Linked DNA regions of Rattus norvegicus. The protein of the gene in region 4 interacts with the protein of the main gene of each other region in a biochemical or structural test. Links are inferred from orthologs where the notes say so. Each region holds a gene or a part of one and is shown on either strand. Other genes may lie near its edges.

Region 1 (3,500 bases), on a different chromosome or scaffold from region 4:
GCCTCTGTGGTCTTCTGGCTCCCCCTTCCCTGTCTAACCACTGCCTAACCTCCAGCAGGCACCTCCTGTCCTCAGGTGACGGTTCGTTTTTCATTGATGGTCATTGCTTTCTTCTCACCAGTGTCTCTGATCTCACCATAGATGTTATTTCCCGTGGGAAGTTCTCTTTCTTCTCCAGACTCTAAGGCACTCCTCCTGTGCTTGTGGGTCCTGAGCATGGCTGTCCATCTCTTTCTCTTGTTGGGCTCCTTTAGACATGCATCATCGTCATCATCATCATCATCATAATCATCATCATCATCATCATCATCATTATTACTTTGGAGTCACCTTTTTAGGGAGGAATTGACAATGGAAGTATTCTTAATTTTTGTAGAATTAGACATTGTGTTAGACATTGTGATTAGACATTGTGTACGTTAAAGAATTGGGGAAGGGAATCCTGTGGCGATGGATTCCCACTGCTCTGTCCATCATGTGTCCATCCGTAAATGCTCTGAAAGCTTGGCAGTGTGGGCAGCCTTGGTGCAGAGCAGAGGATGAAGAGTGGGTGGGGCCAACGCTCACAATGTCCCTGGCTGAGGACTGGCCAATAGCCTCCAGGGGAGGAGGGGTCGGTTTTCTTGAGGGGTGCTCCAGCAGACGGCTCTGTGTCCTTGTGCAACTGGCAAAGTGGCCTCCTCCGTGGACTGGAAAGAAAGCACACACGAAGTTAGGAAGGGAAAGTGATGCTGGTGGGGGAGGAGGGGAGGAGGTAAAGGAGAGAGAATGGGGCAGACTCAGATTAAAATACCTACGTATGCATGGAAGTCTGAAACAGCAACAGGTAGGACTTAGGCCGAGAAAAAGGAATGAGAATTTTCATAGTCATAAAGAAGACCATGTGTGCTTTGAGCACACACCGTGGTGTGAGTCTCATCTCAGAGTGAGTCACACTGTGGTGTAAATCACACCACAGTTTTTGAGTTTCATCACAGTGTGACTCTCATCATGGTGTGAATCACAGTCTAGAGTGAGTCTCATCATCGAGGTGTGAATGCCAACATTTAGTGAGGACTTCCTTTCTCTCTTCAGCACCACCTGAGAAAGCTAGAAGGCCGCCGTCTGGACTATGATTATAAAAAGAAGCGGGTGGGTAAGATCCCCGAGGAAGAAATCAGACAAGCAGTAGAAAAGTTTGAAGAGTCAAAGGAGTTGGCCGAAAGAAGCATGTTTAATTTTTTAGAAAATGACGTAAGTATTTAAACCACACAGAAGACTTGAATGCCCACGAGTAAAAAACACAGCACATGAGCATGACTGCTGTGCGGTGGTGTTCTCAAACCTGAATTGTTAATGGACGTTTCTAGAACGTTCTGTAACTGTGGCTTCCTGCCTTACATATAGTGGTCAGCAATCCCAGACTGAAGCTTCAGTCCTTGGCGGGGCTGCTTGTCTCTGAGGTGGCCTTGTAGCGGAAGATGGCCCAGGAGAGCAGTCTCTGTGTTAAAGGCCACAGCATGTGGTTTGGAGCTGTAGGCTTGCCAAGTTTGAACAGCATGCGCTGGGGTGAAGATCTGTGTCACTGTTTATTGGGTTAGCTGAGGAGACACACTGGTCCCTGTGCCATAGAACAGGTCATCTTTCTTCTCTTTTGGGGGTGACAGCAGCCAGACTTGGAAGGGGTCTCCCTGGGGTTTTCTATGTCCTTGTGGCCTGGCGTTCTCCTCCAGCGACCCTTGGTGCCTCATAGGCTAATGGCAGCATTGCTCACCACTGGCAGAACAAACTGAGGTGATCTGGTGGGAGGGGAGAAGAGCTGACAACCCTCGCTGAACATTGTTGGGTGTGTCTTTTAAGCTCTTACCTTGGCTCTCATCCATCTCCCCCAGCCCCTGCCTCCATGAAGCCAAGGCCATGGCTATACTTCAGAGTTCTGATACCTCTTGGTCACCAACTTCATGTCCACCCTTGGTCACTTGGCCTGTATGGCTGTTCCTGCTTCCTTTCATGGCTGGGAGCTATGCTTCAGAGTGGTTGATGATGGTTGGGTTTTCCTCTAGGATATCATTGTGGTTCTGGGTAAATATGATTGGATCCCTTTAATTCTTGTTAAACATAGTAGGTCTGCAAGCTGGGACACTGCCTGATGGATTTGGCAGTGCTTAGACCCAGAATTGGCTGGACTTTAGTGTCCTGGAACAGACCTGAGAGAACAACTTAAAAGGAGGAAGGTGAGCTTTGCCTCAGGGGCTGGAGGTCTCAGACCACACTAGCTGGCTTCACTGTGTCCATTATGTTGCCATGGAGCATCATGGTGGGGCAGATGCTGCCCTTAGACTGGCAGAAAGGAGATACAGGGTCGGGGCAGAGAGGGAGGGGGAGAGAGAGGGAGAGAGACAGAGAGAGAGGAACATGGGGAGAGAGAGGGAGAGAGACAGAGAGAGGGGGGCAAAGAGAGAGAGGGAGAGGGGGAGGGAGAGGAAGAGAGGGAGAGAAGGAGAGAGGGGGAGAGGGAGAGGGAGAGAACAGCCTTACTCTCCCCTGTATCCCTTTACTTTAAGCTAGGTTTTATCTTTTAAAGTTCCAGAAGTGATAAAATATTGCCATGATCTCTGGATCAAACCCTCAGTGTGACCCTTGGAGGGCATTCTATGTTCACACTGGGACACACTCGACACTGCTCCTATTGGAAACTGGTGAACGGGCTGTTACAGAAAGGCTTCCAGGAGAACATGCTAGCAGAGAGCAGAAGGATCATGGCGTCCTCCAAACACACGTGGGAGATGCTTTGTCATTGTTGGGGGGAGATTTGGGGAACTCAGCCACAGCAGACACTGGTTTGGGTTCTGTCTAATTGAGAAGTTGACAAAGGAGTCAGGTATCTGGTGTGAGCCTTCATAAGTGTGATTATTGATCTTTTGATCAACTGTGTTGGCGGTATGGCCCAGGGTCAAAGTCTCAAAATTTTACTTCCTCCTCTCTACCACCGCAGTTGATGGATGCCGGCCTCTCAATGTAGAGCCAGCGTGGCTCCACCAGAATAGCATAAAAGATGCTGACACTGAGTGAGCATCCCTCACGGGGCTACTGACCACGAGAAGCAGTTATAGGCAGAGTAAGGCATATGTTAAGGACAGGCTCCAGTCTCATCCACACAAGGAGGGAATGGAATTGGGACTTGTAAGCATCCATTCCAAGGAAATGGGTAAACAGAGGAAAGTGGCTAAGAAGGATCTGAGATGCTGTGCTCTATCCTTGGTTACTTCCTGCTTATGCTTCTGTGGCACCAGGAATTCAAAGCCTGAAATCTCACCCTCCAGGACTTGGATGGACTCACTGACTCTAACCCTTGTCTCCCACTGTCCTGGATAAGCTATAACATGAGCTTAAAAATACCAGTTGTGTGCATGGATACTTGTCCGTGTGGATGGACGCTCACCATGTGAGAGCGCTGCCTGTGGACGAAGAGGGCAGCAGATCCCCTGATGTCAGAGTTACAAAGGCTGTGAGCACCCTGT
Region 2 (4,124 bases), on a different chromosome or scaffold from region 4:
TGCTTCTCCTGACCCTCATAAACCCTGAGGGGATGAAGAGCAGGCCGGGGTTATCAGTCCTCATTGTAAAGATGAAGATTCAGAGAAGCCGAGGAATTTGGCCGTGCTAACACAGCGGCAAAGTGCCGGAGCCAGGACTGCATCTCCAGACCCCAAACCCTGAGTTCTTCCTATCAGCTCTTGGGACAGCGCCCTTTCCCCGGATTACAGTGTCACGTACAAAACTGTTCCACACACTCCAGAATGAGCATCTGTTCTTTGTCTTCCAGGTTGTCAAGGTGGGAGGCCTGGAGGAAGGGGAATAGGAAGGGGTAAGGCCGCCACCATCCCCCCCCACCCCCGCCGTCAGTCACCCTCCCCTGCCCAAGGGCACGCCCCCTCCCTGTCCTCACCTCCTCTCGAAGATGGTCGTTCTCTTCTTCCAGCAGTTTCAGCTTCTGCTTCAGGGCTTCCAGCTGTGGGCAGTGGTGCAGCGTCTCAGCCTTAGGGGGCCTGGCAAGGGGGCAATGAGAGTCAGACTGTAAGGGGTGGAGGATCCCAGTCCCCCAAGGCTTCCCCAGACGAGGCAATGCCAGCAGGCTAACTGCCCATGCCCGTTTACAAACGGACAACCGAGGCACAAAGGCAGAACACGCACGGCTTGGGGGCACCATAGGGATGGTCGTGCTGCTGATCTTGGTCCCTCTGTCCTTCTCGTTCCTCCTCTTCTCCCTCTTCCTCTTCCTCATCCTCTTCATCCTCCTCATCGTCATCGGAGTCCGAGTAGAGCTGAAGGAGATCATCTCGCAGGTTCACCTGCTTCCGGAGATGTAAAATCTAGGGCAGGAGAAAGGGGCCGCAGAAAGGTGAGCACGGAGGGGCAGAACAGGTGCTGGTTGGGGGAGGGAACAAGCCGAACCCTCCTCTTGGTCCTTAGGAGCCCAGATACCTCCTCTCTGGCTGAGCCCAGCATGGTTTCCAGCTTGTTATTCTCCTCCATCAGAACACTATTCTGTTTCACCAGGGACTGGCCGATGCGAGCGGCTGTGTTCAGGTCCCGTTCTTTCTGCAAAAGGAGAGCCAACCATTCCATACTTCTCCCAAACAGGAGGGCGAGAGCAGGGGCTAAGCCACAAGAAGAAAGTTGCCCCAGCACCCAGCCGTCCAAGTACTAAACCAAAGACTATTAACCAACTCTGGGGTCTGACTCAGTTTCTCATCCTGAGGAAAAAGATCAGCCCAGATTTGGTCCTCTGAAATCTATGTGCCTTTCAGGAAAGGGGCCCTCAAGTTGGCACCCAGGCAAGCAGAAAACAGACAAAAGCCCTAAGTCCTGTAGGGAAGAGCTAAAATGAGGGCTGGCCTGAGTGAAGAAGGCAAGGCGGTACCCACCTCTTCCAGCAAATACAACATCACTTTGATATCATCTTCGGTGATCTTCTTCCTGGGCAGTGGATTAGGACACAGCGCTGCAGGAGGAAAGGCCTGAGTGGATCAGGGAAAGGAGCCGAGGCTGCCCACAGCCCCCTACATCCCTCACAACAAAAGTGGTGAGACTGCGTTCTATCTGGCCCTAACACCCTCTTCACAGCTCCGGATCTCAGCACTCCTGCCTTCTCAGGAGGGGCCTGGGTGCTGTAAAGGCAAAACCATCCTCCAGGCTCAGGAACCAGACTTTCAAGACCCCTGGGTCTCTGGTCCCTCGAGATAAGAAGTCAGGGGAAATACTGGATTCATCATGCCTGACTCAGTCGGCAGCTTAGCCAGCTCACTGGAGACTCCTCGATCGTAACAGATGCACGTAACCCATCCTAAACCTGTTGCATGTGACAGGAGGGCCAAGTAGACTTACTTCTTCAGCACCAGAAGCGGGCACCTCAGCCTAAAATTGCCCCGCCCAGAAGAGGAGGGACAGAAGGCCAGTGCCCCGCCCACTCCTCCCGCTTCAATCCTGCTTCAGGAAAGCGCGACCCAGACCCCTCCGGCCAAGCAGTGTCAAAGGCTCCCGCCCCGCCCCCCGCTCTACCCACCCACGCTGGCTGGTCCTGCGGGCTAGCGCAGGCTCAAAGCGCACCCGGCAGCGCACCCGCAACCCCCGCCCCTCTGCTGGCACTGCGGTAGACGGGGAGGGGGCATTGAGAGTGCGCAGATCTGCCACAGCAACAGGCGCGAAGAGGGGGGCGGGGAGAGCAAGACAGCCCTAGATCTGACGCACCTACAATAATCGGGGAACCTGAGACAGAGGAAAAGATGGGGAAAGGGAAACCAAACAGGCACGGCGGACAGTGGTCTCGCAGGGGTGGTGGAAAGGTGGGACTGAGAGCCACAAGGGGGCGGGGCGCCTGAGTCGGTGGTTATTAGAGATGCCCTAATAACGCCCAGTGTGGGATCCCCGAGACTCAGTTTACCTTCCTGCAGCTCTCGAATAAACGCCGCGCGCTCAGGGCCGGACACGCCGGGCCTTCGGCCGATGTACGCGGCTGGCGTCTTCCAGATTCCCTCAGCCCTTCCAGTGCCCAGGCCAGTAGCCCGGGGACCGTAAGGCCCCTGGAATATGTAGCGGGTCCATGGTGCGTCCGAGTCGCCACGGATCCTGGACCTACAAAAGCTTCCTCCTGTCTTGGTTCGGGATCCTGATTTCTGTCCGGACCCGGTTCCCTGCGCCGGAGCAGGTTTGGGCTCTGCCGAGGGCTCCGGAGCGGGATCCGCTGCAGGCTGGGTCGTGGGGGTGCCTGTTGCTGGGTCCCCCGACCCCGTCCCGTCCCCGGCACTGCTCTGCACCTGCTCCTTCGGGCGCATCTTGACTCTGCAGTCCGCTGTCGCAGCCGAGCCTTTATAACCTGTGCTCGGAGCGGGCGCCACTGGGCTGTACCACGTGTGGCGCTAGGGGTGACCGTTGATCAATTAGTGGTGCTGAGGACTCGGGATCCTACGAGAAAGCAGCCAGTGGTGACGGAATAGGACGTAAATGAATGAAGAAGAAAGAAAGAGATGAGAGAGTGCCCAGTTTTTTCCATGGGATCGAGTTCACGATGATGGGTTTCTCTTCCCTTCCATCTTCTGAGAATGGTTCTGTCCAAAGCCGCGGCTTCCCTGGACTTGAGTAGAGGGACCCGTAGCTTCTGCCTAGAAACAACCCCCCCCTCCCAGCCCTCCCGCGCGCGCTCCCGTCACCCCAGCTTCCAGGGGCTTTCTCTGTTGTTCTACACAACATTGAATACATTCCGAGGTGACCTGAGAATCGAGGCAGTACGCCTGTGTCTTCCCAGGTGGATTAAGCGAGAAATCCAAACTCCGGTATGGCTTTCAACGTGTTGCGTGTCATCCACAGGTCCTCGAGCTCACACTCCCGCACTCGCCCCTAGACGCCTTCCATCTTACTGCGTTCACCACTCGTTCTTTTATCTCCAACCCTAATTCGCAAGGCCTATATATAGTCCAAGCATCTTCGGAGGGGATCCTACTTAAATGTTTCTCTGTGACGACTCTTCCAGACCTCCGTGTACACACACACACACACACACACACACACACACACACACACACCAAAACACCCGTTATCCCGGGGTCTGAAAGGATCAATGTCGGTCTTCACGACTTTACCTATGCTCTTCAGTTCATGGACGGTGGGCTCCCCAGAGAAATAGATGCTTTGGAAGCTTGCTCTCGGTCCTGAATGAACTGGGAGAGGGGGGTGGGAGCTAGGGAGGGCAGTAGCCATGTCTATGCTTTTAGACTGCGAGACAGGCTAAAAGGAAATGGTGACTCATGGACTCAGATCTCAAAATCGTTCTTGATGTTCTCCCTTCTCCTCCACCATCCTCCAATTGCCAATCCTATTGATTTCACCTTTTTGAAAATATTTCATTTTAATATATTTTGTATGTGGTGTACGAATGTGTCCGTGTCTGTGGGCAGAAGTCGGCGGTCAACATCAGATGTTGTCTGGCCCTTGCCATCTCGTTTTTTTGAGACAAGGTCTCTCACGGAATCTGGAGTTCAGCACTTTGACTAGACCGTCTGGCCAGGGAGCCCCCAGACACCCACTTAACTCAACCCCTGGGTTTACAGACAAGAGCCACCATACCAGACGCTCATGTGGAGACTAGGGATTCAAATACAGTCCCTTACGTTTACACAGCAGA
Region 3 (3,969 bases), on a different chromosome or scaffold from region 4:
TTTCTGACCTCCACAGGTGCACTGCCGCGTGAGCACAGTCCCACACATACACACAGGTACATAATTCACACACATTAACAAAAGCCAAGCATCGTGGTCCACGGAGATTCGAGGGACTCGGCTATATAATGAGTTTGATGCTGTCATTCATTAATCAAAACATTGCCTAGTACAAGTGAGACGTGTACTGGGTTCTTGAACAGATAGATGAATAGCATCATCAATTTTTTTAAATTCTTAACGGTGCCACTGGTTCTGTTAGTAGAGAACGTGTAACATTTTCTTTGCTGAGGAGCACACGTCCCAGTCTGTAGATGCTCCCAGAACAGGATGGGAGGAGTGGACCCTGCTATAGATAAACAAGGAGCATCTGTTGGGGTTTCTACCAAGGTAAGGGAAAGCTCTGGGGAGATACCCGCAGTCAAAGTCCAGTACTTGGGGACCCGGGTCGGCGATCCTCCAGAACTGGCAGATAGGAATGCACGGGGAGGAGACTTCGAGAGCCACTAAGGCCGCCATCGCCGGACCACACTGATGCGGAGTTCCCCGGCAAGCCTGGTGAAAGCGGTGCAGCCATGCTTCCCTTGATCTGCCTTTCCGTCCCCCTCGGGAACTCGTGGCGCCGGCTGGACGGCAGCTCTTCGAGCTCAGCAACCCGCAGCAGAGAAGGGCCCAGGAGGTGGCGCTTCGAGATAGGGTGGAGTCTCAAGGGCTGGTCTGTAGCAGCCAGGCCCTGCCCCATTAAGATGACGGACAAGCCTTCAGAGCAATCATGGTGCTCTTTTGGTCCTGTAGGGTGGGAACAAAGGAGGAGTGACGGATGTAGGGTGGAGCAGCAAAAAAATGGTGAGGGCAGCTCACGAAGCCAGCCCTGCTGTGTTGACAGATAACTCTTCAGACCAATGACAGTGCATTTCTAGGCCTGGAAGGCGGTGTATCGATCATGGGGCGGAGCCTCGGGGAGGGAGCAAGAGCCCACCAGGTCCTGCCCACAGAAGTTAACGGACAAACCTTCAGACCAGTCATAGCATGCCGACCGCTCTGAGGCGGGCCAGCCGGTGAAGTGAGCGGAGCGCCTCCGAAGTGGGAAAAGGGATGTGGGGAAAAGCCTCTTGGAGAGATGGGGTGGGTCCTGAGGGAGATGGACAGCGCTGTCAACCAATGGAAGACGTAATCTGTCCCCGTTAGCGCCGGATCCCCGCGGGTAGGGAGGGGCGGGAGGCGCCGCGGGGATCCCGGGGCGGCCGAGGGCCCCTGACTCTGTTCACCCAGACAACATGGACCGGATGGCCAGCTCCATGAAGCAGGTACCCAACCCGCTGCCCAAAGTGTTGAGCCGGCGCGGGGTTGGTGCTGGGATGGAGGCTGCGGAGCGCGAGAGCTTCGAGCGGACTCAGGTGAGATTCGAGAACCCTGGGGCATCCCTGGGGGCACCTGGAGTGATGCAGGGTGCTAGAGAGGCTTGGAACGGAGTGAGTCTTGCAGTCCCGGGAGGGAATTAGGCAAGGTGGCTGCGATCAGAATCATTTTGGGGTGCGGAACTAGGCGGGTCCCAGGGAGGTCCGGGACCTGGGCATCCCTACTGGCACGGGGGTCGGGGTGTACTCCGGGGAACTGCAGATTCCTGCAACTGAGAGAATAGCCTCGGCGAGCACCATCAGAGGTCACAAGGGAGGCCAAAGGGAGTCGAAAAGGGACTGATGGAAGGGGTGCTCCTGGGTAGGGGAAGCACTTGGAAGTCACTCGGTTTTTGCAAGTGTGGGGACACCAACGTAGAGGTGTAAAGGGTGGCTCTGATCGCTTTACTTTAGTATTGACTTCTTCCTTCATTCCCCAGCATCTCGTTCAACGGTGCCTCTAACTTGGCTCTCAGCAGCCCCAGCTGTTGGCCTCAGAGGCTGCGCCAAAGGGGTCTGAGTGATGGGAGGGACCGTAGGAAATGTGAAGTGTGGTCCAACTTGGAAAATGACCCCCGGGGGTTTGGAGAAATGGGGACGCGTGTAGGAATTGCGACGCTTGGACTGTCAGACCCTCGCGTGTCGGGTTAAGCTCTCCAGTGATACATAGAATCCTGATTTGCGGTTTTCCTTTCACCCTCCAAAATATGCCTGACAGCTACTAAGCAGACCGCCTGCCTTGTCTGGTCTGACCAGGGCAGATGGCCAAAATTCCACCGCGGTTATCAACAAAAAGCCACTATCCACTTTTATCTCAAGCTTTTATGCATGCTGTATCGATCGGACCGAGTCAAGTAGTGAGGCGCTGGGTGTGTAGTTACCAATTCATCTGTATGTAAAATCTGAGAGTACAACCCTTCGGATCCCACTGCGGAAGCTGGGCCCGTAGATTTCTTGTTCTCCTCTGGCTCTCCAAGTTCTACTTTGAAGATCGAGTTGACTTCAGCCAGAGGCAGCTCCCCTGTGGTGTTCTGTGAGTAGAAAAGGTGGAAGAGATAGGAGAGCCCGTGAGTTCTATAAATGGACGGTGCACGGAAGACAGCCTTTTCACCCCAGGGGACTTTAATCCACCTCTTGTTTCTGAGACCCCTGGATCCACTTCTTGTGTCTGGGGGAAAAAAGGGGTAGTTGTACCCGGGGAGGAGGAGAACCGGCATTCACTTACCTCTCAATGTCTAAGGGTTTTTGGAACTTTTTTAATTTCTCAGATCTTCTGAACTTTGGGCATTGCTGCCAAAAGGAAAAAGAAAGTTTTCATCTTCTCCCCGCTACAAACCTCTTTTATTTTTAAACTGAAAGAGGAAAATAAGCCGGAGCTATTTTGTGACATCCAACCGTCTGAGAATCTCTGATAGCTTAAAACTGGAGCAGTAAGTTAGACATAAAAGTTTGAGCTTGGGGTTGGGGATTTAGCTCAGTGGTAGAGCGCTTGCCTAGCAAGCGCAAGGCCCTGGGTTCAGTCGTCAGCTCCAAAAAAACAAAGACAAAACAAAACAAAAGTTTGAGCTTAGGCCCAGTGGAGCTGGCTAAGGGGCCACCTGCGTTTCATGCCAGGGAAGGAGCCATGTTGCCCTCTGACTTCAGTTTTGAGCTGCGCCATGAACACCCCTCCATACACACACACCCAAAATTACATTAAGAGTGTTTTTGAAAGTTTGAAATTAATAGACAGTGATAGAAATTAGGCATTTGAGGGGTTGGGGATTTGGCTCAGTGGTAGAGCGCTTGCCTAGGAAGCACAAGGTCCTGGGTTCAATCCCCAGCCCCGAAAAAAAAAGAAAAGAAAAAAAAAAAAAGAAAGAAATTAGGCATTTGAAATGTTTCCAGCCACAACTAACATTTTTCCTAGTTACCCAGGGAATACTCAACAGGAAGACTGGTAGGTCAGTGTCTAATTTTACCTTCGTAGAACACTTGTTATTAGTCAGATTTGGTGTGTGTGTGTGTGTGTGTGTGTGTGTGTGTGTGTGCATGTGTGCACACGCATTGAGATATACTACAGCAGAGTTTTTCAGTTATGGAAACTCCTCCCTCCCCTTTTTTTCTTTTCTTTTTGATTTTTACAGATAGGGTTTCTCTGTATAACAGCTCTGGCTGACCCGGAACTCACTTTGTAGATCAGGCTAGCCTCAGACTCACAATGGTCTGCCTGCCTCTGCCTCCCAAGTGCTGAGGGTTTTTTTTTTTTTAATTTTTTGTTTGTTTTGTTATTGTTGCTTTTGTTTTATTTGAGTGAGGATCTTACTGTGTTGCTCAGGCTAGCCTGGAACTCAGCTATGTAGACCAGGCTGGCCCTCAAACTTTCATCTCCCTGCCTTGGCCTCCCTAGTGCTCAGATTACTGGCATGAGGCAGCACAATCCAACTGAGTTGTTGAAATTCTCTCAAGCTGGCAGGCATGGTGGGACACTTTGACAATCCCAGCACTCAGGAGGCAGAGGCAGGAGGATCCTTGCCAGTGTGGTCTCCATAGCAGATTCCAGGCTAACCATGCCTATACATAGGGAGACCCT
Region 4 (3,356 bases):
GAGTCTGTGATTGTAGCTATGGAGCGAGTGTCTGTGCTCTTTGACAGGTAAGAAATGCAGCAACACCTGACCTTTATCCTCAGTAGTCATTGACTGCCCTGGAGCCACAGCCAGAGCAGTTCCTTCCACGTGTATTTGTTCATTCTCTTGAACTTTAAATTGCATCTTTGCAGCCGTTTTCCCAATGCATGCATATTCAGAGTACCACCTGCAAGCCAGACTCAGGGACAACTGGACCCATGCAGGGGTACAACCAAGCCACTGCCCTGGGGGATCCCACAGGCAGGGATGAGGAAATAGATACTCCCGGAGTGTAGCCAAGTGCTATGGTGGGGCTCAGCCCATATCCACTGGAAGGAGACACGGTTGAGTGTCAGAGTCACTTGTGTACTTCTTGGCCGTATACCACGGTGGTGTGGCATTAGTCACAGGTCAGCTGTCTTTAAGGATGCTGCTAAAGGTGGAAGTGTTGGATGTTGAGACAAGAGTCAGTAGGAGCGTCAATGGGAGTCTGTGTTTGAAGGGAAGAAAAGCTCCTGATTGACAATAGCACCCTGGATATTAGGACATGCAACAGTGACGCTTTAGAGCCTTTTGATGTGGAGTCTCTTCTGTAATGTCACTACCTACCTGTTGCTGCTGCTCCCTGACAGGGCCTTCCCACAACTGCATTATTCTCCCCAGAGTGGGAAAGATCACCCTGTGCCCAGATTAGTCAGGGCAGCAAAAGGACAGCCTGGATGTCGTCTTTGGCTTTTAAAACTCATACCCCAGTTGTGATCTGAGCCCCACTTAGAACATCCCTGTGGGTCATGGGTCATGGGTCAGGGGCCTCTGAGCCTTGGTCCATGTTGGCTCTATGGGCAGGGTTGAGAGGCTAAGAACCAGGTGAGGCTCAGATCAGTTCCTCTCATTTCAGGATCCGCAAGGGATTTCCCTGTGAAGCCAGGGTCGTGGCAAGGATCCTGCCTCAGTTTCTAGATGACTTCTTTCCACCTCAAGATGTCATGAACAAAGTCATTGGAGAGTTCCTGTCCAACCAGCAGCCATACCCACAGTTCATGGCCACTGTAGTATACAAGGTGAGAGTGTACTTGCATTGTGGAGCAAGGACAGAGCAGGAGGATGAAGGGGGACTCAGTCCCACACTTATGGTAGGCCTGTCATCACGGCTAGACTCATCCTTTAAGATGGGTGGCAGCTGTGGTCCCAGTCCCCACCCAACCCCACAGCCTGACCCTGTGCTCAGGGCTCTCTCCTCCCCAGGTTTTTCAGACTCTGCACAGTGCTGGGCAGTCATCCATGGTCCGGGACTGGGTTATGCTGTCTCTGTCCAACTTCACACAAAGAACTCCAGTTGCCATGGCCATGTGGAGCCTCTCCTGCTTCCTTGTCAGTGCATCTACCAGCCCATGGGTTTCTGCAATGTATCCTTCCATGGGGCTTTGGCCAGGTTTCAGTCTCCACCAGCCTTTCCTTATTCTCTTAGCATCCAGTTCAGGTTCCACTGAGTGTTTTGAAGCCTAAACTCTAAAGAACCCCACAGGTATCAAGGGGATGCTTACCCTCCCCTAAAACACTGATGGGGACATGAAACAGAAGGTCTAGCCATTTGCCAGCCAGGGCTGCCAACGGGTGGGTTTGTGGCAGGAGTACTACTGCTGAGGGAGAAGAGAGGAGCCCAAAGGGAGGCAGGGCAGCTCAGGCCGCTGCTGGCCCTGCGGCTGCCCCAGCGTCTGGCATGCTTTATCCCTCTGAGGTTTTCTCAATGCTGCTTTTCATTAGCTCTCATCTTTACACTGCGGTCACCCTCCTGGGGAAAGCCGTAAGTAAAGCTGCAGTTCCCGCCCTAACAGTGATGCCAGGAGTTCCTCTTTTGGCAGCCTTCTCCACAGTAGAACAGGAGTTACTGAGCAGCAAAGTTGTCTTGGTGGTGACAGTACAGCCTCACCCTAAGTACTGGGAAAGCCTTGCAGGCAGGGTGCTAGCTCTGCCCTCCCTGCACTGGAGCAGTGTGAGCGGAACACCAGCCACTAACACTGTGTGGGGAGCACAGCCCAGGTAAGTGCTGTTGCGCAGAGCACTGGGAACCAGCACCCTGTCTGCACTGCAGGGCTCCCACTTCCTGGGCCTCTGGGCCCCTGGGCCTACCCATCCCTACTCTCCTGGGCAGACAGCAAGCTGTAGCTGGCAGAGGATTACAAGCAGGTGCTGTGCTAATGTGGTCTAGGCTGCCCTCTATTTTGGTTGCCCAGTCTTCCTGGTGGACTTAGGGAGGGAACCGCTTGGGGAGGCTGTCTTCCCACCCTTGCCATCATTCCCCCTTAACTGTTCTACCAGCCTTCCACACGTCATCAGCAGGATGGGCAAACTGGAGCAGGTGGATGTGAACCTTTTCTGCCTGGTTGCCACAGACTTCTACAGACACCAGATAGAGGAGGAATTCGACCGCAGGGCTTTCCAGTCTGTGTTTGAGGTGGTGGCAGCACCAGGAAGTCCATACCACAGGCTGCTTGCTTGTTTGCAAAATGTTCACAAGGTCACCGCCTGCTGAGTAGTACCTGTGGAACAAGAGGCTGAGAGGAGGCAACTGCTGTGGCTACAGCCTCCAGGGGCCTGCACCAAGCTTCTGCTAAGGCTGCCTTGGACGTGCAGGCTTCCACTTGTGTCAAGTGGACAGCCAGGCAATGGCAGGAGTGCTTTGCAATGAGAGCTATGCAGGGAACATGCACTATGTTGGGGTTGAGCCTGAGTCCTGGGTCCTGGCATCACTGCAGCTGGTGGCAGTGCTAGGTTGACCAGGTGTTTGTCTTTTTCTTAGTGTTGCCCTGGCCATAGTTGCCAGGTTGCAGCTGCCCTGGTATGTGGAACAGAATCCGAGCTCTTGTAAGATGGTTCTGAGCCCCCCTGTCCCACTGGGCTGGAGAGCTCCCTCCCACATTTACCCAGCAGGTGTACCTGCCACACCAGTGTCTGGACACAAAGTGAATGGTGTGGGGGCTGGGAACTGGGACTGCCAGGTGTCCAGCATCATTTTCCCTTTCTCTGTTTTCTTCTCAGGAGTTAAAATTTAATTATATCAGTAAAGAGATTAATTTTAATGTAACTCTTCCTATGCCCGTGTAAAGTGTGTGACTTGGCAAGGCCTGTGCTGCATGTGACAAAGTTTATGGAAGTGGATGCGCCTTCTGGCCACCACTCTCTCTCCTGTAGCTACTCAGTCTAGTCGGGCAGGTCCCTCATGTAGCCCTCCCAACACCCTATGGCACTTGCACTTCACACGGCTCCTTTTTCTTATGCATTCCATTTGACTAGCACAGAGTGGTGTTGGTGTTAACTGCCCTATGTGAGAATCC
Region 5 (2,532 bases), on a different chromosome or scaffold from region 4:
CGGGATGCCCATGAACTGGCCGCAGTTCGAGGTGAGGAGGCGCAGGGTGGGGTGGTAAAGTGGGATCCTAGGAAGGGACTGTCAGTTCAGACCCCTCAGCCTGACTTCCCTCCACCTCCAGGAGTGGAACCCAGACCTCCCCCACACCGCTGCCAAGAAGGAGAAACAGCCTAAGAAGGCAGAGGGGGCCGCCCTGAGCAATGCCACTGGGGCTGTAGAATCTACATCCCAGGCTGGGGACCGTGGCAGGTGAGTACCTCCCATGGAGCTCCTGGGAAGGAGAGGGAGAGGGAGAGGGAGAGGGAGAGGGAGAGGGAGAGGGAGAGGGAGAGGGGGAGAGAGAGGGGGAGAGAGAGAGAGAGAGAGAGAGAGAGAGAGAGAGAGAGAGAGAGAGAGACCCACACCCCACACACTGGGCTAGATACATTTTATCCAAGAAGACAAGAAATGACCCCAGACCATAGCTACTATGTGTCCTCTGAAAAACAGGTGGGTAACCCTTCAAGACACCTGCTGTGAGTCACACAGTACTCTGAGCACCCTTGTCTTAGTCAGGGTTTCTGTTCCTGCACAAACACCATGACCAAGAAGTAAGTTGGGGAGGAAAGGGTTTTTTTTTTTGTTGTTGTTGTTTTTTTTTTGGTTCTTTTTTTCGGAGCTGGGGACCGAACCCAGGGCCTTGCGCTTCCTAGGTAAGCGCTCTACCACTGAGCTAAATCCCCAGCCCCCGAGGAAAGGGTTTATTCAGCTTACACTTCCACATTGCTGTTCATCACCAAAGGAAGTCAGGACTGGAACTCAAGCAGGTCAGGAGGCAGGAGCTGATGTAGAGGCCATGGAGGGATGTTACTTCCTGGCTTGCTTCCCCTGGCTTGCTCAGCTTGCTTTCTTATAGAACCCAGGACCACCAGCCCAGGGATGGCACCATCACAAGGAGCTGGGCCCTCCCCACTTAATCACTTATTGAGAAAATGCCTTACAGCTGGGTCTCATGGAGGCATTTCCTCAAGGGAGGCTCCTTTCTCTGTGATAACTCCAGCGTGTGTCAAATTGACACACAGAACCAGCCAGTACAGCCCTCCTTATATTAATGAATTCAAGCCTCCGGCCAGTCTGAGAATGGATAGAGAAGCTTAAGTCCAGAGAGACTAGGCAGCATGTCTAGACATCTCAGAACCAGGCAAAGCTGTCTCGTCCACGTAGGGGTAGCGTCTCTCACAGGATCAGTCCTTGGGTCCTCCTTCGCGCGAGCCGAAATCCTAATGCAAACTGTTCAAGCTGTCCGAGGCTCACTGGCTGGGACCCTGCCCTGTGTATCCGACTTCAGCTCCAGCCTTGTAGAATCTGGACCCCCAGCTCTGGTTAGGAGGGAATGTTGATATGAATGGGGGTGGCCTCAAATCCGCTGATAGAGGTCCCCATTTGCACCTAAGTGTCAGCAGCTATGACCGAGGCCAAGCGTATGCCACCGAGTGGTCAGACGATGAGAGCGGAAACCCCTTTGGGGGGAACGAGACCAATGGTGGCGCCAACCCCTTCGAGGACGATGCCAAGGGAGTTCGTGTACGGGCACTCTATGACTACGACGGTCAGGAGCAGGATGAGCTCAGCTTCAAGGCCGGTATGGGGGCTTGGCTGAGGGTGGGGTGGGGCTGGAGGACTAGGGAGAGAAGACTGGGCTTAGATTGGATGTAGAAGGAGTGCAGGGGCTGAGGGAGAGCCCTGACCTGAGCTGGGTAGTGCAAGGGTCTGACTTGAAGACAGTCTTTCAAGGGGCCAGGGCAGAGGCCTGAGCATGGTGGGCTGAAACCCTGTGAGGTGCTGACTGAGTGAACAGGGGCCAGCACTTGAATGTTGAATGGGACTGTAGCCCCGAGTTGAAGCCCAGGTAGATGGGATGGAGTACTGGGGCAGAGCCATGCATTAACAAGGTGTCCCTGTGTCTCCCTCCCCAGGAGACGAGCTCACCAAGCTCGGAGAGGAGGACGAACAGGGTTGGTGCCGCGGGCGGCTGGACAGCGGGCAGCTGGGCCTCTATCCTGCCAACTACGTTGAGGCTATATAGCTACTTTGCCCACCCGCCTCCTCTCACTCCTTGTCCACCGCCTTCTGCCCTTCCCCTCCCCTCGCCATAGAGTTCCAGACATATTTTCCGATCAAGCTTTTATTTTTTTAAAAGTCAAAACAGAACAAAAAAAGAAGAAATATGAAGAGACAGCGTTTGCAGCCTACCTGGAGGCCAGGGGAGTGGGGCTTAGGATGATGGCCCCCTCCCCAGCGTGGGCAAGGATCTTGGGACTTAACCCAATGTCACATCTGGTCTACAGAGTCCACCAAAGAGTCTCCTGAGTCTTGAGGGAGATCTTCTGGATCCTTCTACCCTGTCTCGCTCTCCTGTCCCACCCCAGCTGCCAGCAGCTACCCTTGTCACCTGAGCCTGGCTTCCTAAACTCTCCTTCAATCCCGCCTTCTCTTAAAGGGCCCCCAATCTTTAGTCTTCCACTCTGCCCTGGGGGTGCTCTTTTCCTCCCA
Region 6 (3,500 bases), on a different chromosome or scaffold from region 4:
GCTCTATAAGGGACTCCCATAAGTCATTAATTGAGTTCATATAAAGGCCCACTTAAGGGATTAATTAGGGAATAAACATACCACATTAGCTGATATCTGTTTTTAAAGTCTGCAGAAGGTGCCTTAAAGTAAGAGAAAATAGAGACTTTTGTTCTTCTCTTGATATTTTTATTGACTGTCATGGAATTTTCCTGAGTAATGATTTTTAAACTTACAGTGGAGAGTGTTCATTGACTACCTTTGAAAAAAATGATCTAAAATTGTACTGATGCATTAAGGAAGTAACATTTGATTTCATAATCACTAGAAAAGCTGAGCAAATGTTTGGGGAGATGGAAGTTTGGAATGCAATATCAGAGCGTGATCGTCTTGAAATCTATGAAGACGTTTTGTTCTTCCTTTCAAAGAAAGAAAAGGTACTCTTAAAATCATAAGTATTTTCAACATTTTTAAGGATTTTACTTTAAAAGAATAAAACTATAACAGAATTTCTTGACTTAATTTGTATAGTGTATGTTATATATCATATCTGCTCATTGGAAGCTATGTTCAAGATAAAATGAGTTAACTCAATCTTTTTCCCTCTTTTCGAAGATGGTAATTATTGTTTAAATCATAGTGGGTGCTGATTTATCTGAATATTTATCACTGTTAAATTGTTTTACATCCATTTTTAAAGGATATTACTAAAACTTTAAATAGAATTGAATGACATTGAGGACTTTGGTATTTACATGCTATGACTGCTTTCAGTAGCCCTCATTGTAAAATGTATCTGTACTGCATATTGGTAATACAGACACAAAAACAAAGTTTTGGATTTTGACTTCAAAGACAGATGGAAAAAGTAAAAGTAAGGACTCTGTCACAAACAACAGTAACAAAATAAACAGTGTTGATACTGCAGAACTATATAAAACATTTGAAGCTTATCAGAATATAAAATAATGTTAAGTAATTGCAATTCAGATATCTTGTTTGAATGTTAAAAGGTATTCAAACATTTGTTGTAGGAACAAGCAAAGCAGTTACGAAAGAGAAATTGGGAAGCCTTAAAAAACATACTTGACAATATGGCTAATGTTACATACTCTACCACTTGGTCTGAAGCCCAGCAGTATCTGATGGATAATCCAACGTTCGCAGAGGATGAAGAGTTACAGAGTAAGAACAATGACAAGTAGTGCCCTCCAGTCACAAAGAGTTAGTCAATTTTTGTATGAAATCAGAATTACTCTGACTTTTTATTTAGTCACTAATTCAATTATACACAATGATTTGTCCATTTTGGGGTGGGGGGAGCTTTATTTTCAAATGGGTTCCTTTTAATTGAATTTTAAATTTATATTTTTTCAATTTAGATTTTAGAGATAATTCTTGAAATATGTAATAAGGCAGTCATTTGTAGATCATTGGTGTCTTCTGAACACAGCAAGGCAGCTGCACTTAAAAACTCTGAGTGACTAAGACAGCATGCACAATACTTACTCCCAGCATGCAAATGGGAGTTGACCATGAAATCTCACCCTTTGCTATATAATCAAATGCATACAGAACTCTTGAACTTAGATGTTTTAAAAAATGGGGGTCAAGCATGACATTGCTTCTGTTAGTAGTTCATTATACCTTGTACATGTCCTCCTCCATTTATCCTTTGTGATACCTGAAGTCATAACTTGTGTCATTATATAATTATGTTTGAATTCAGATACAAGTGTTTTTATACTGAATTGGAAATTTGTAGAGTTTAATGCAAATAACTAAACTGCTTTCTTTATTAATATTTCTTTTTTTATTAAAAAAATACTATAGACATGGATAAAGAAGATGCATTAATATGCTTTGAGGAACACATCCGAGCTTTAGAAAAGGAAGAAGAAGAAGAAAAACAGAAGACTTTGTTGAGAGAAAGGAGGAGGCAGCGTAAAAATAGGGAATCTTTTCAGGTAATAGAAAGATGCCCCCCCGGAGCTGGGGACCGAACCCAGGGCCTTGCACCTGCTAGGCAAGCGCTCTACCACTGAGCTAAATCCCCAACCCTGAAAGATGCCTTTTCTTAGTTCTGTAATATAGTCATTGAGTGTCAAGAAGGATCAAGACAGTTTTGAGATACTTGTTTCCGGTTCGTTACCTAGACTTCACGGGTGGTCCAGTATGTTGAACTCTTTAATTTTTATAACTTAGTTTTTGTTCTTGGACATTTGAGGAGAGTGAACATAGCTGGGTGCAGCAAGCATTGTTTAACTTGAGCGTAGGTTTCAGCTGAGCAAAATAGCATAAGGGCTAGGTGGAAACAAGATGAGTGATTGAGTGCTTTGTAGCAGTTGATATTTGGTTCTCAAAGGATGTACTGTACAATTTAGGCATGGAACATAATTAAGCCCTTTACATGGGAGCTAAACTGTGTTCCGTAGTCAGTGACTCCTTTTTTGCTTCTAGTGCTATTCTTCCCATTACAAAGAAATGAATTTTTGCTGTTTAAATTCTTATTCTCTTATTTCTTTGGGATAGGATCCTAGGTGACCTAGGCTGTCCTCAGTCTTGCTATGTAGCCCAAAGAATTTTGTACTCTTGATCTTTTTCACCTTTCAAGTACAGGGATTACAGATAAATGCCACAATGCTCACCTAAGATATTTTACTTGTATAACCTGTGTTTTGAAACTACTTCTTAATATATCATGTTTGTTGAATATATTCAGATAAATAAGGAAACAGAACTGGTGAGATACTACTAAGCATGGAGCTAGGATTTAAAACTATACAGTCTTGGTTACAAGCAGTCTTTAGTCTTGTGTATTAAACTTTGTGTTAGGGTGACAACAAGGTTGCAGTGGCTTACTTAAGCTTGTTGTTTATCATTTGATCTATTGTTATTCTTTAGGGCAATAGTTCTTGAAATCTCTTTTGTGTTAGACTCATGTAAAAGACTTTTTAAAAACAATTATTCCTACCATGTCAGTGGTTACTAACTCTATTGCCCTCAGCTGTTGAACAGCAATTTACTTTTGTTCTGTGAAACTCACTATTCTGTAAGTTACTTTTTCAGTAGTTCTGCATAAGATTATTCATGACTACTAAGAACACAGATTATTAAGCCTCCTCCTAAGAATTTGATCCAGTCAATACATTAAGTTTTAATATGTAGTAATACTGATGCTCTTTTGTACACCAGTGATTTCTGGAATTGTTCCTTATTAGTGAGAAAGATCATTTCTTTGATCACATTTAGCATGGAAATGACCAGTCAAAGACCAGTCTTATTAAAGCCATGAAAGTAGACATTCTGTTTACCTATGTTCCTATAATTTTCATAGCTAGCTATAAAATAGGCTATCCCTAGTTTTAAGATAATCAACTATTTGTAACTATGTGGCAAAAAATGTTTTTTAGGAGAGCTCTTAGACTTTTGCAGCTTGTAAGCTTCAAGACTGTTTTAAGGTTTAAAGTTTACAATAGTTTAAATTTGAAGTAGACATAAAATAACAAATAAAATAGATA
Region 7 (3,500 bases), on a different chromosome or scaffold from region 4:
AGGCAGAGGCAGGTGCATCTCTGAAATGAAGGCCAGCCTGGTCTTCAGAGTAAGTTCCAAAACAGCTAGGGCTACATAAAAACAAATAAGTAAACAAACAAACAAATGAATTCCCTGTCTCAAAAACCAAAAATAAACAAATGAGCCATTCCTCTAGGCCTGAATATTAAGGGTGAAAGAAAAGCATGGAAGCTCATCCTTGTAATCTCTACTACTTAGGAGACAGAAGCCAAGGCCAAGTTAGGAGATGGAGCATTACCCTGATTCCATGTAAAATAAAATAAGAAGCTTATAGAGGAATTATAATTCAGAACATGGCTGCTCTGGCAAGAGATCATATCCAAAGACCTTCTAGGTCTGTGTAATCCTAGAACTCACTATGCCACCTCCGCTGGAATACAGACAAGCCTTTAATCCTAGGAGACAGAAGCATGAAGATCTTGAGTTCTAGTCAGTTCTGTTCAGTCAGTCAGTGGAGTTCAGAAGCAGTTTTACAGGGAGAGCCCCCCCCCCCCAACCAAGTTGAAGAGAGTTATAATAAGCTACACACAGGTAAAGACAGAATGAACCAGAGAATAAAAAAAAGTCAAAAGATTAGAACAAATTGCTAGAGTTAGTTTGAGGTGAAGCAGGGAAATTAAGTAAGAAGCCAGTTTGAATCAGTCAGCTTAGAGAGGAGTTCTGAGGCAGAATAGATGGGTTGAACCAGCCAACAAGAGCTAAAAAGTGTAAGCTTACTCAGCAGTAAGTCTCAGAGACTAAAAACATTCTAGGCCTATATTAGACTGTAGGGAGGCTAGAGCCTCCCAGGCCTAAGCCTAAGTTAGACAACAATTACATCAGGTGACTAAAAATTATGTTTATGGGAACTGGACGTGGTCTCACACCTTTAATCCAAGCACTGGAAGTCTCTTCGAATTCAAGGACAGTCTGATTTGCATAGTGAGTTCCAGACTAATTAGGTCTACATAAACAGACCCTGTCTCAAAAATGAACAAACAATAAAAATGAAATAGAGGGGCTGGGGATTTAGCTCAGTGGTAGAGCGCTTACCTAGGAAGCGCAAGGCCCTGGGTTCGGTCCCCAGCTCCGAAAAAAAGAACCAAAAAAAAAAAAAAAAAAGAAATAGAATAAAAGTTGCTGAGTTTGGCAGACCACGTCTATTAATCCCTGCCCCTACCCTAAACTCTTCCAGTTTATAACCTTCCCTCCCTCCCTAAGCTTATCCTTCCCATACAACCTTGCCATCTAGACAAGTGTTCTCGTCTCTCGTTTTTTATCTTTCTGTCTCATTTTCTACCCTGTTCTGTCTCCTGTTATGGCCAGGTCGAATCTACTGGTTATTATTTAGTCTATTACTTTCTCTCCTTGCTCTGAACTCTTCAGTGCCTCTGGCTATACTCCACCTCATATCTACAATGAAAACCTTCCCCTCAACCACAGCTTGGAACGGTCATGTCCTCAACTTTATATATCTGGTGCTCAACCCCTCACTTTATATACTCCCTATCTGGGGTTAAACAGACACATGTATGTGTTACACAGGAAAAGTCTGTCACATGACATGTGATTACAGACATGTATGACCACAACTGCTTTATGCAGTGCTGGGATTCAAACTCAGGACTTCATAAATACTAGGAAAACCCTTTACCAACTGAGCTACACACTCAACCTCTCCTATATCTTTTTATAAAAAACCTTATTTATTTTGTGTATGTGAGTACAACACTGTCGCTCTCTTCAGTCACACCAGAAGAAGATATGGGATCCCATTACAGATGGTTGTGAGCCATCATGTGGTTGCTGGGAACTTAACTCAGGACCTCTGGAAGAGCAGTTGGTGCTCTTAACCACTGAGCCATCGCTCCAGCCCACTCCCTATGTCTTAAATAATAAAATTATACACTTTCCCTCATATTTCTATGTTCATTGTTTGTTTATTTCTATAAAAAAAAGAAAAATTCTATATTCAATAAGATGAGCTCACCTCCCCTCACTGTCTTTACAATAGGGGCATGTACATGCTTCCCGCCGAGTCCTGCGACCAGCTTGGGGTTGGGGATCAGGGCTGTTCTCTCCTTCTTCTCCACCTGCTGTCTCATCATGTATTCCATCACCGCCAGGTCCATGAAGGCCAAGTTGAGCTCCATGATCACCTGAAATAAAAAGGAGAAAGGTGGCAATGGGTAGGACAAAACAGTTATAGAAATCTCATGACAGAGCCAGGTGATGGTAGCACATGCCAGTAATCTTAACTCTTGCAAGGCAGAGGCAGGTGGACCTCTCATGAATTTAAGGCCAGGTTGATCTACAGAGGGAGTTCTAGGACAGTGAGGGGTACACAAAGAAACCCTGTCTCAAATAACCAAATAAATAAACAAATAAAATTAAAATAGAGAAAAAAAATCTCACTGGTACATCACACTCATAGCACCATCCCTTTTCTTTTTACATTTTTTTTTCTTTTTTCTTTTCTTTTCTTTTTTTTTTTTTTTTCGGAGCTGGGGACCGAACCCAGGGCCTTGCACTTCCTAGGCAAGCGCTCTACCACTGAGCTAAATCCCCAGCCCCTCTTTTTACACTTTTTTTCCCCACCCCCTCTTTTTACACTTTTAATTACAGTTGATTCTTCCATGAGTGGTGTGTGTAGGATGCTTGTCTAAGCCAGAGGAAAACTGTTGGCAATCAGTTCTCTTTCTACCACATGGGTTCCAGGAACCAATCACAGGCTGTCAGCCTTGACAGGAAGTATCTTTACCTGCTGAGCCATCTAACCAGCCCATGACACACCGTTCTGTCAAGACTCGTCTTTCTATTTTAATCTGACATAAGGTCTTGCTATATTTGCCCAGAATGACCTTGAACTCTGAGGTTCAAGCAATTCTCTGGCTTCAACCTCCCAAATAAGTACCCGAGGGACTGCCAAGGGGCTACAGGTTTAAGTTTACATAGTAGTTCCAGGATAACCTTGGCTAAACAGTAAGACCCATGCCAAACAGAAGCCAACATGACATCACTATCATACTGGAATCTGTTCTCCACCCCTTTTAAATAAGAGTTTTAGAAAAGAACAGTTTAATCTTAAAACATGGTACCAGTTAAGCAGTGAGATAAATTAAAGACTGGCCTTCCTGTGATGAAAGTAACTAGGAAACCAGAGGCACAGTGTAATGACAGTCTTGGCCAAATCCAACAGTTGCCTCTAGCATCAATTTCTGAACCAACTATGGCTGTTAAAGATATTCTCAATGGCTTCTAAGTAAACAAGTGTGGCTAAAGCCAAGCCTTCCAAGATCACGAAGAGTCAAAACCTTATTCTCTGTGGAGACCCCGGGAATCACTAAAGTATGATGAAATGAAAACGTCAAGAACTGTAACACAAAAACAAAACATCATTCTAGAACTGATCTCCGTGCCTCCACACAGTAGGCGAGTATTCTACCATTCAAGAAGTTAATTTCTATATAGTTCTAAAAACTCCAATTAGGCATCTGGGC

Evidence for each region.
Region 1: the proteins of Htt (region 4) and Sh3gl3 form a complex in vitro, tested with the Homo sapiens proteins (2 studies listed by BioGRID and IntAct, with this or other methods). The link is inferred for Rattus norvegicus from reciprocal best matches to the Homo sapiens genes HTT and SH3GL3.
Region 2: the proteins of Htt (region 4) and Hap1 form a complex in vitro, tested with the Homo sapiens proteins (4 studies listed by BioGRID). The link is inferred for Rattus norvegicus from reciprocal best matches to the Homo sapiens genes HTT and HAP1.
Region 3: the proteins of Htt (region 4) and Hip1 form a complex in vitro, tested with the Homo sapiens proteins (2 studies listed by BioGRID). The link is inferred for Rattus norvegicus from reciprocal best matches to the Homo sapiens genes HTT and HIP1.
Region 5: the proteins of Htt (region 4) and Pacsin1 form a complex in vitro, tested with the Homo sapiens proteins (2 studies listed by BioGRID and IntAct). The link is inferred for Rattus norvegicus from reciprocal best matches to the Homo sapiens genes HTT and PACSIN1.
Region 6: the proteins of Htt (region 4) and Prpf40a form a complex in vitro, tested with the Homo sapiens proteins (2 studies listed by BioGRID and IntAct, with this or other methods). The link is inferred for Rattus norvegicus from reciprocal best matches to the Homo sapiens genes HTT and PRPF40A.
Region 7: the proteins of Htt (region 4) and Sp1 form a complex in vitro, tested with the Homo sapiens proteins (2 studies listed by BioGRID). The link is inferred for Rattus norvegicus from reciprocal best matches to the Homo sapiens genes HTT and SP1.

The regions. Positions count from the first base shown.
Region 1 is NC_086019.1:145,632,255-145,635,754, forward strand, and holds part of Sh3gl3 (endophilin-A3), read left to right. Parts: intron 1-1,074; coding exon 1,075-1,233; intron 1,234-3,500. UniProt on the Homo sapiens protein: Implicated in endocytosis. May recruit other proteins to membranes with high curvature.
Region 2 is NC_086028.1:85,783,704-85,787,827, forward strand, and holds the start of Hap1 (huntingtin-associated protein 1), read right to left. Parts: upstream 2,801-4,124; 5' UTR 2,779-2,800; coding exon 2,388-2,778; intron 1,449-2,387; coding exon 1,372-1,448; intron 1,046-1,371; coding exon 929-1,045; intron 817-928; coding exon 638-816; intron 493-637; coding exon 393-492; intron 288-392; coding exon 221-287; intron 1-220. UniProt on the Homo sapiens protein: Originally identified as neuronal protein that specifically associates with HTT/huntingtin and the binding is enhanced by an expanded polyglutamine repeat within HTT possibly affecting HAP1 interaction properties.
Region 3 is NC_086030.1:26,768,778-26,772,746, forward strand, and holds the start of Hip1 (huntingtin-interacting protein 1), read left to right. Parts: upstream 1-1,169; 5' UTR 1,170-1,277; coding exon 1,278-1,397; intron 1,398-1,403; exon of another isoform or gene 1,404-3,969. UniProt on the Homo sapiens protein: Plays a role in clathrin-mediated endocytosis and trafficking. Involved in regulating AMPA receptor trafficking in the central nervous system in an NMDA-dependent manner. Regulates presynaptic nerve terminal activity.
Region 4 is NC_086032.1:80,073,313-80,076,668, reverse strand, and holds part of Htt (huntingtin), read left to right. Parts: coding exon 1-47; intron 48-919; coding exon 920-1,082; intron 1,083-1,266; coding exon 1,267-1,427; intron 1,428-2,340; coding exon 2,341-2,554; 3' UTR 2,555-3,356.
Region 5 is NC_086038.1:5,764,929-5,767,460, forward strand, and holds part of Pacsin1 (protein kinase C and casein kinase substrate in neurons protein 1), read left to right. Parts: coding exon 1-31; intron 32-121; coding exon 122-249; intron 250-1,433; coding exon 1,434-1,621; intron 1,622-1,955; coding exon 1,956-2,065; 3' UTR 2,066-2,532. UniProt on the Homo sapiens protein: Plays a role in the reorganization of the microtubule cytoskeleton via its interaction with MAPT; this decreases microtubule stability and inhibits MAPT-induced microtubule polymerization.
Region 6 is NC_086021.1:58,050,010-58,053,509, reverse strand, and holds part of Prpf40a (pre-mRNA-processing factor 40 homolog A), read left to right. Parts: intron 1-307; coding exon 308-416; intron 417-1,013; coding exon 1,014-1,164; intron 1,165-1,812; coding exon 1,813-1,946; intron 1,947-3,500.
Region 7 is NC_086025.1:135,437,050-135,440,549, reverse strand, and holds part of Sp1 (transcription factor Sp1), read right to left. Parts: intron 2,160-3,500; coding exon 1,991-2,159; intron 1-1,990. UniProt on the Homo sapiens protein: Transcription factor that can activate or repress transcription in response to physiological and pathological stimuli.